Oryctolagus cuniculus: one gene and its partner. The protein of the gene in region 1 interacts with the protein of each later gene in a pairwise test. Links are inferred from orthologs where the notes say so. Each region holds a gene or a part of one and is shown in the gene's direction. Other genes may lie near its edges.

Region 1 (4,182 bases):
CTCTCTCTCTCTCTCACACACACACACACACACACACGCCCGCTCAGGCCCCTCTCCGTGTGCCTTCCTTCAAGATGCCAGGGCGCTGGAGAAAAGGCTGCTGGAATCAGCTGGTAGGTACAGTAGTAACCCGAACCCCACCCACCGGCTGCCTTTGCCTGCTCAGGTTTCTCTGGTCACTCCTGCCAGGGGAGAAAACATGTAATGCGCCTCCAGAGGAGGGGCTAGGGGAGCTGGGAGTGGCGGGGGTGGCGGAAGGTGAGCCCTGGAAGGTGGCCCAGGGTCCCTTCTGCCGGGGCCCTTCCCAGTGCTCCCTTGAGGTGTTAGCCCCAGCCCTGTTTGCCCCTCTCCACCCCCACCCCCCTTTGCGAAAGGATTGCCTTTTTTTTTTTTCCTCTGCGGCGGCGGAAATGACAATGTGGTGCTAGCGTGGTGTCATGGTGCTGCCCCTGGACTGAGGAGTGAAAACTCTTTAAGTTCAGCCGGGGAGAGCCGGCCGCGATAGCGAGGCGACAACCGGGCCGTCCCCTGCGGGCCGCGCGAGCTGCTGGATCCTGGCTGCTGCGCGGCGGCGGCGGCGGCGGCGGCAGCGGCAGCAGCAGCGAAGGCGGCAGCGAAGGCGGGCGGCGGCCTAGAGTGGTGGTGGCGGCGGCAGCGACGGCGGCCCGGGAGCTTGCGCTGGAGCCCGAGTCAGCTCGCTGCGGAGGCAAGCGAGCGCCCGGCGCTCTCTGGCGCGCGGAGGAGATGGCTGGCACCTGGGAACGCTATGGGTAAAACGCGCCCCCTCGCCGCGGCCCTAAGGGTCTAGTGTCCTCGCCCACTCAGGTCTCGGCCCTGGCTGCGGCCGCTCTTCAGGTGCCGCCGGGCCCGGCGCTGGCCGAGGGCTCCGGGGCTCGGCAGGGTGGAGTGACGGGGCCCGTGAGGCTGGAGGCAGCGGCGGCGGGATCCCGGTCCGGCTCTGGCTCCCCGGTCCGCCGTTGGGGCACGGGCTGCTGCCGCTGCCGCCCACCCCTCCTCCCCTCCCCCGGACGGAGTTTGTACTCCAGGGTGCGGTGCGGGGGCGGCCCGAGGCCTCCAGCGGAGCCGCGCCGGGCTGGGCGCTGGCAGTCGAGCCGTTCCCTCGGTGCCTGGGCGCGAGTCTGGGAAAAGGGCACTACTGCCTTCCCACGCTTCCGCGGTCGGCAGCCTAGTCGGCCCGGGAGGCGCCCGTGTCTGGCGGGGCTGGCCCAGCAGCCAGCGGGCGATGCCGCGGACACCCTGCCGGCGGGGAGGCCAGGCGAAACTTAATCCCTTTTCTGCCGCCGGAGCGATCCTCCACGTCTGGGTGGCTTCTTATTTCTGGCCTAGCTGTGAAAGCAGCTGTGTGGGGGAGAGGGGAAACTTAACGTATGTCCACAGGACTGACTGCGACTGAATCAGGGAGAGGTGTGTGTTTTTTTTTTTTTTTCATTCCTTGCTCGTAAGTATTAAGTAAATAACGGCGGAGTCGATTTACAGAAACATTGCTGGTTTCGGTTAGTTAGCACTTCGTGTGCAGCACATTATTTTTCGGAGGCGTTTCTTGTAGAGCAGGAAATTGGGATCCTAGGGTGGTAGGGCTCAGCACTTTCCCTCTTTCTTCCGCACTTCCATACCACCTTCAGGATCACTCACCTTCTTCCTATGGCGAAAATACCTAAATTTCTGCCCCATCGAGATCTCCCCCCATGGCCCTTCCGGCACTTCCGTGCTCACCCTGTCCCCATCAATCTGTGCACTCCCCAGCCACGCAGCCTCTTGCTTTTTCAACCACTTTGCCCTTTGGAGGATTTCAGAATGTGGGGCTGGTGGATGGCGATGGTTGTGTGTCTTTAAGGAGGATCCCTTTTAAAGGAATACAGTGTATTGGAAATTGTGTAATAGACAAGTACTGTGCGTGGGTTGCTTAGTCTGATCTCAAGTTGGGTTATAAGGGCTGCCTTTAACCCTTTTTCTGTTTGCTCCCAGTACTCCGATCAGTTCTGTGGCAATTTTCCCAATAGAGGGGGTTGTTGAACAGGGAGGTCCCCTCCCCTACTTTTTTTTCGTTTTGGGGGGCAATTTCATTCTATCCAGATGGTTATTCCCGCTTCCACACATTCTCCCCTTTCTACCTCCTCTCCACTCATCACTGCCCTGAAGGCCTAACAGTTGCTATTTTTATTTATTCCTGCCCAATGAATTATTTTAATGCCGACACATAATGTGAATTAGATTTCTCCTAATTGTTCCTCACAAATTGATTTTTGTGAGGTCTAGGAAACCTGAAGATCAGGGAGTTCATGACAAATCTGATGTTGCCTTGGCTGTATGACCTTAGCACATGCCTATGACCTTTCTTTCATAGTTGGTGCACTTCTGTAAAAGGCATAATATTGTGTGTTGGGTATTGTGAGTTTTGCCTTGGTCCTTTGAAGATGAAAGAGTTCTATAAATCCTCAGCATTATACTTTTCAAAGAAAGCACTTCATTTACCTTTTATTGGGTTAGTGGATTGGGCATTAGTAAGAACCCTAGTTTATGGGAAACCTTAATTTGCCATTGTTAACCCTTTGGAAGCCAAATTTGTTATACTTACACCCTAAGTCTGTTTCTCCCCAATGTGTGTACAATTGAATAAAAACTTACATACAATTTGGCACACAGATAATGGTATAAATCATATAAGTGCTTAAATCATATCTAATGTACTCTAACCTCACAATTTGAGTCAGACTCCTTTGAAAATCTAATCTTGCCCCTTTTTAGCCTACTTGGGTGACAGTTAGTTAATTTCTAATGAAAACTGACAGTAATTTAGGCATAGCTCTATAAGCATCATTAGCAGCTAGCAGCAATGAGTCAACAATATTTATTAAGCACCTTTATTGTGAATAGTCCTTTGCTGACTGGGCTGAGACCCCAGACTTGGCACAGCATTTTGGCCTCCTGCTTGTTCCAGGCCTAACTCCATACCTGCAGCTCCAGGATTAGTACAGGGAGGGGCTGTGCAGGGTAGAGATAGCGGCTAGGTACAGGAAGGGCTACTTCTGTCCCTCCTATTTACTTTTGTGACTACTAGAATTCCCATCTAGCCTGTTGTACCTTACAAGGCCTCCTCCAGAGAGTGCTGCTGCAATTCAAAGTGACTTGGTTGCTTCTTGAGTGTATCGGAACAGTGCAAATAGATTTAGATGAAATTGGTTTAGGTAATCCCTTCTCTAAGAGCAGGGTAACTTGCTCCAACTTGCTGGTCCTAAAGTAGTGCCAGTGGAGTCTCATAATTGTATCCAGATACTGCTCTGGGTAGTGAGCTTGTCCATTCCCTCATCCCTCCCCCCATAAAATCTGCTGACACTACAGCAGTTGAGAATGGAAACTACAAGAGTATATCTTTATCACTCAGCAAACCTCATTGGCTTGGGAAAGAGGAGGGAATGCTATCTTTTCATTTTATCCCTTAGAACTCAAGTTCTGTTTTTCAGTAGGGACATAGAGCCATGGAAACGGTGAAGATAGAGCTGAGGCACAGAATATGTTTCAAATGGCTGTTCTGGTGGTACCCCCAGAACATGTCTCATGTGGATCTGTCTTTATGGATCTTGGTAACTTCCTAGGTGTTAGGTCATGGAATGTGACTGGTGGTTAAGGGGGTGCTCTATTTCTGATTAGCAATTACATTTTGTTCCTCTCAGTGGGGAAAATGAGGCTTTCTGTTTATGAAGTGCCTGCTTATTTAAGCTGAATATTTTGACTTGCAGCACTGTGTCATCAAAATATGAGGTGTTACATGTTCATTCTGGATATTCAAAAGTTTAGAGTTCAAATCCATTTACTTGTCAGTGCATGAAATTTTGGTAACAGAGTGGTGTCTAATTAGTGTATTTCAGGTTTCTCAAAAAATTGTGTAAATCATTGAGCAATGTACAGAGAAGACTAGAAAAGTGTTTCTCAATCAGTGCATTGGGTCACCTAATAAGTGAGAAGGCCAGATGAGTGGCATTGAGATGAGAAATCTCAACTGCAATCATTCCCCTGTGCAGACTTCCTTTAGAAAAAAAAATCCCTCTGCTCCAAAGATCAAGATATGTTTCTCTTTCCACTTTTATGTATTAAAACTTTCCTAAGAATTTTCTGTGGGCTTTGGAGGTCTGCAACTTTTTCCAGTTGTTTCTCTTTCCATCT
Region 2 (3,648 bases), on another chromosome or scaffold:
GGTTTAATGAAGGTAGTCTCTTTTTTTTTTTTTTTTTTTTAAAGACAGAGTTACAGAGAGAGATAGACACACACACACACACTGAGAGGTCTTCCAATCACTGGTTCATTCCCCAAATGACGGCAACAGCCAGAGCTGAGCTGATCCAAAGCCAGGAGCTTCTTCCAGGTCTCCCATGTGGGTGTAGGGGCCCAAGAACTTGGGCCATCTTACACTGCTTTCCCAGGTGCATTAGCAGGGAGCTGAATCAGAAATGGAGCAGCTGGAACTCAAACCAGCGCCCATATGGGATTGGGATGCCAGTACTGCTTATTTTTTTTTTTTTAACTATTTATTTGAAAAGCTGAGTTGCAGAGAGAGGAAGAGACAGAGACAGAGATATCAATCTTCCATCTGTTGATTCACTCCTCAAATGGTCTAGCCATGGCTAGACCAAGCCAAAGCCTAGAGCTTTTACTGGGTCTCCCACATGGGTGGCAGGGGTCCAAGTATTTGGGCCATCTTTCTCTGCTTTCTCAGGCCATTAGCAGAGAGCTGCCTTCCCCAGGCACATTAACAGAAAGCTGGGTTACAAATGGAATAGCTGCTACTCAATCCAGCACTCTGATGTGGGGTCTCAGTGTTGTGAGGGGCAGCTTAACCCAGTGTACCATAATGCCTGCCCCTTCCCATTAGTTTCATGCTGTATTTGCTTTTTATCACAGTGACCACCAAAAATCCAGTTTCATAGATATGATGTCATTGAAAGGAATGTGTTATGATCTAATATTGTAATTATGAACTACCCTGAGCTATTAAAAATATCCCTTTGCACCCCCATAAGTTGGCTGTGTTACTCAGGATGCCTCAGCATATGTTTAACGGTTTACACTCTACTTGACTGTTTGCTCTGACATTCTGGTGTAGGTTTTTTGACCTGCATCTCAGTTTCCCAATCACTAGCCTTCAGTGTTAAAGTGAACATGTCAGAGTACTCTCTGACGAAGGAAGTGTGGTTGATACTCCTTCATTTTTGTAACACTGGTTTTACCCTTGGAAATACCATTTTTCAGATTGGCTCGACATCGGAAAATAGTGGAACCTGAAGTAGTAGGAGAAAGTGACTCAGAAGTAGAAGGAGATGCTTGGCGCATGGAAAGAGAAGACAGCAGTGAAGAAGAGGAGGAGGAAATAGATGATGAGGTATGTTTAGGAAAATGGGAAGTTTTTCTGGGTGCATGAAAAAATTGAAGCCAGTGCTCATTTCCTAAGCTCCTGTTGGCACAATATTGCTCTTTTTTGCAAAATTCTGATAATGTTCCCTGGTGGGTGGGGATAGGATTGAAAATAATAGAATGATGCTAAGGTGCATTGGTTCATATCAGAATTTGTTGAGCTTGATGAGGGAAAAATAAGAAATCCTTTTAAGAGCATTTGACCGGCTAGCTTAGATGTATGATTTTACAGGAAATAGAGCGGCGCCGTGGCATGATGCGTCAGCGAGCACAGGAGCGGAAAAACGAAGAGATGGAAGTCATGGAGGTGGAAGATGAGGGACGTTCCGGGGAGGAGTCTGAATCAGAGTCTGAGTATGAAGAGTACACAGATAGCGAAGACGAGATGGAGCCTCGCCTTAAGCCAGTCTTCATTCGAAAGTAAGTATTTCACAAACCTGGTCCAAATCCACTAGTTACACCAGGATTAAAGCCTCTTTTCTATCCAATGATCTTCTGAAATCTAAGCACTAAGTGGAAGCATTTTGCCCAGTGTTATAACCCTTGCTAAAGAATATCTTGGCATTAGCAGAGAGCCTGTTTGTTTTCACATCTCTCTTTCCCGTTAAAGAGCACATATCTGCTCAAGGTTATCAATTTTAAGCAGAAAATTAAGCAGGAAGAGTAAACTCATATTCCTTTTTTAATGACTAGAAATCCTATCAGTTACAGTCCAGCAGATTCTTTGCTATCCAGGCAGTCCTCAAAGATGAATGAACTTTGTCTAAAGACCTGAGATATCTGCCACTTTTGGTTCTTCACAAGTAACAGAGTCAAAGATTGTTTGGTGTTGTGTAATGGGCCTAGATCTAAGGGAACAAAGAGCTCTACTCTAAGGACTTGGGCAACTAATAGGACCTCTGTAATGCAGGAAGGACCGAGTGACAGTTCAAGAACGGGAGGCTGAAGCATTGAAGCAGAAGGAGCTGGAGCAGGAAGCAAAGCGCATGGCTGAGGAGAGGCGCAAATACACACTCAAGGTACTGGGGTATGGTTGCAAGCATCGAGAGAGAGCAAATAATGTAATTAGGTTTGTCTGAGTAGTCGTAACTATTCTGTCTGTCCAGATTGTAGAGGAGGAGACCAAGAAAGAGCTGGAGGAGAACAAGCGGTCCCTGGCTGCACTGGATGCCCTGAACACAGATGACGAAAATGATGAGGAAGAATATGAGGCATGGAAAGTCCGGGAGCTAAAAAGAATCAAGAGGGACAGAGAAGATCGAGAAGCGTGAGTGATAGGATGGGCCTAAAGTTAATGCCACTAATGGGACAGGTTTCTGATAGCATCCACCATGAGTTTCATTCTAGTTTTCTTGAGGGATCTTATGGCTGAAGTCAGTCTCCCATAAGTAGAATATGAGTTTCCTTTATTAGAGTGAAATCAGAGAGGAGAAACATACTTTGTTCACCATCATAGAGTGCCAGCCAATGCTCTTGCCTTTTTTTTTTTTTTTTTTTCTCTCAATTTGAAAGGCAAAGAGTTGGAGACAGAGAGAAACAGAGGGCTTCCATCCACTGTTTGACTCCCCAAATGGCCACAGTGGCAGGAGCCAGGAACCAGGAGCTTCTTCCAGGTCTCCTGCACAAGTGCAGAGGCATAAGGACTTGGGCCATCTTCTGCTTTTCCAAGCCATAGCACGTAGAGCTGGATCGGAAGTGGAGCAGCCAGGACTCCAACTGGTGCCCATATGGAATGCCAGCACTGCAAGCGGTGGCTTTACCCGCTACACCACAGTGCCGGCCCCTAATGCTCCCTTTTGTTTCCTGTTAAGACACACACAGTCAATGTTGTTATCTCTGGTTGTGTAGCAACCCAACCCAAAATTTAAGAAGCTTGAAACACAGTTTATTATTTCTCAGTTTTGGAAGTTAGCTGACCAGTTCCTTTACTGGGAGTAACTGGGCCAAAAAGTCTAAAAGGGTTTCACTCCCAAGTCTTGTAGATGATGTTGGCAGTAAGCTGGAATACCTCATTTCTTGAGTAGCTACCTTTCCTAGCAATCTCAGAGCAGCATTACAAGAGGGCAGGGGTGGATGTTAGCAAGGCCTCCTGAGGCTTAAGTTCCAGAACTCATAAATACTTCTGCCAAATCTGGACTTGACATCTGGTCACAGCAAGTCACAGGCCATCCTAGTTCAAGGGAGTAGATAAATAGACTCCACCTGTAGATTGGAGGAACAGCAAAGTTACACAGAAAAGGGGCATGCATACTGTGAGTGGGAGGATTTACAGCACTTAAATATCTACCTCACTCACTCTTTTTTTTTTTTTTTTTTTTTTGACAGGCAGAGTTAGAGAGAGACAGAGAGTTATAGACAGTGAGAGAGAGACAGAGAGAAAGGTCTTCCTTCCGTTGGTTCACTCCCCTAATGGCTGCCACGGCAGGCGCTGCGC

Evidence for each region.
Region 2: the proteins of MID2 (region 1) and MFAP1 interact in binary tests that used the Homo sapiens proteins (3 or more experiments, as listed by UniProt). The two-hybrid records come from large-scale screens. The link is inferred for Oryctolagus cuniculus from reciprocal best matches to the Homo sapiens genes MID2 and MFAP1.

What each region holds. Positions count from the first base shown.
Region 1 is NC_091453.1:85,475,216-85,479,397, reverse strand, and holds the start of MID2 (probable E3 ubiquitin-protein ligase MID2), read left to right. Parts: upstream 1-1,295; 5' UTR 1,296-1,388; coding exon 1,389-1,425; intron 1,426-4,182. UniProt on the Homo sapiens protein: E3 ubiquitin ligase that plays a role in microtubule stabilization. Mediates the 'Lys-48'-linked polyubiquitination of LRRK2 to drive its localization to microtubules and its proteasomal degradation in neurons.
Region 2 is NC_091443.1:66,694,776-66,698,423, reverse strand, and holds part of MFAP1 (microfibrillar-associated protein 1), read left to right. Parts: intron 1-1,052; coding exon 1,053-1,182; intron 1,183-1,446; coding exon 1,447-1,634; intron 1,635-2,124; coding exon 2,125-2,233; intron 2,234-2,320; coding exon 2,321-2,481; intron 2,482-3,648. UniProt on the Homo sapiens protein: Involved in pre-mRNA splicing as a component of the spliceosome.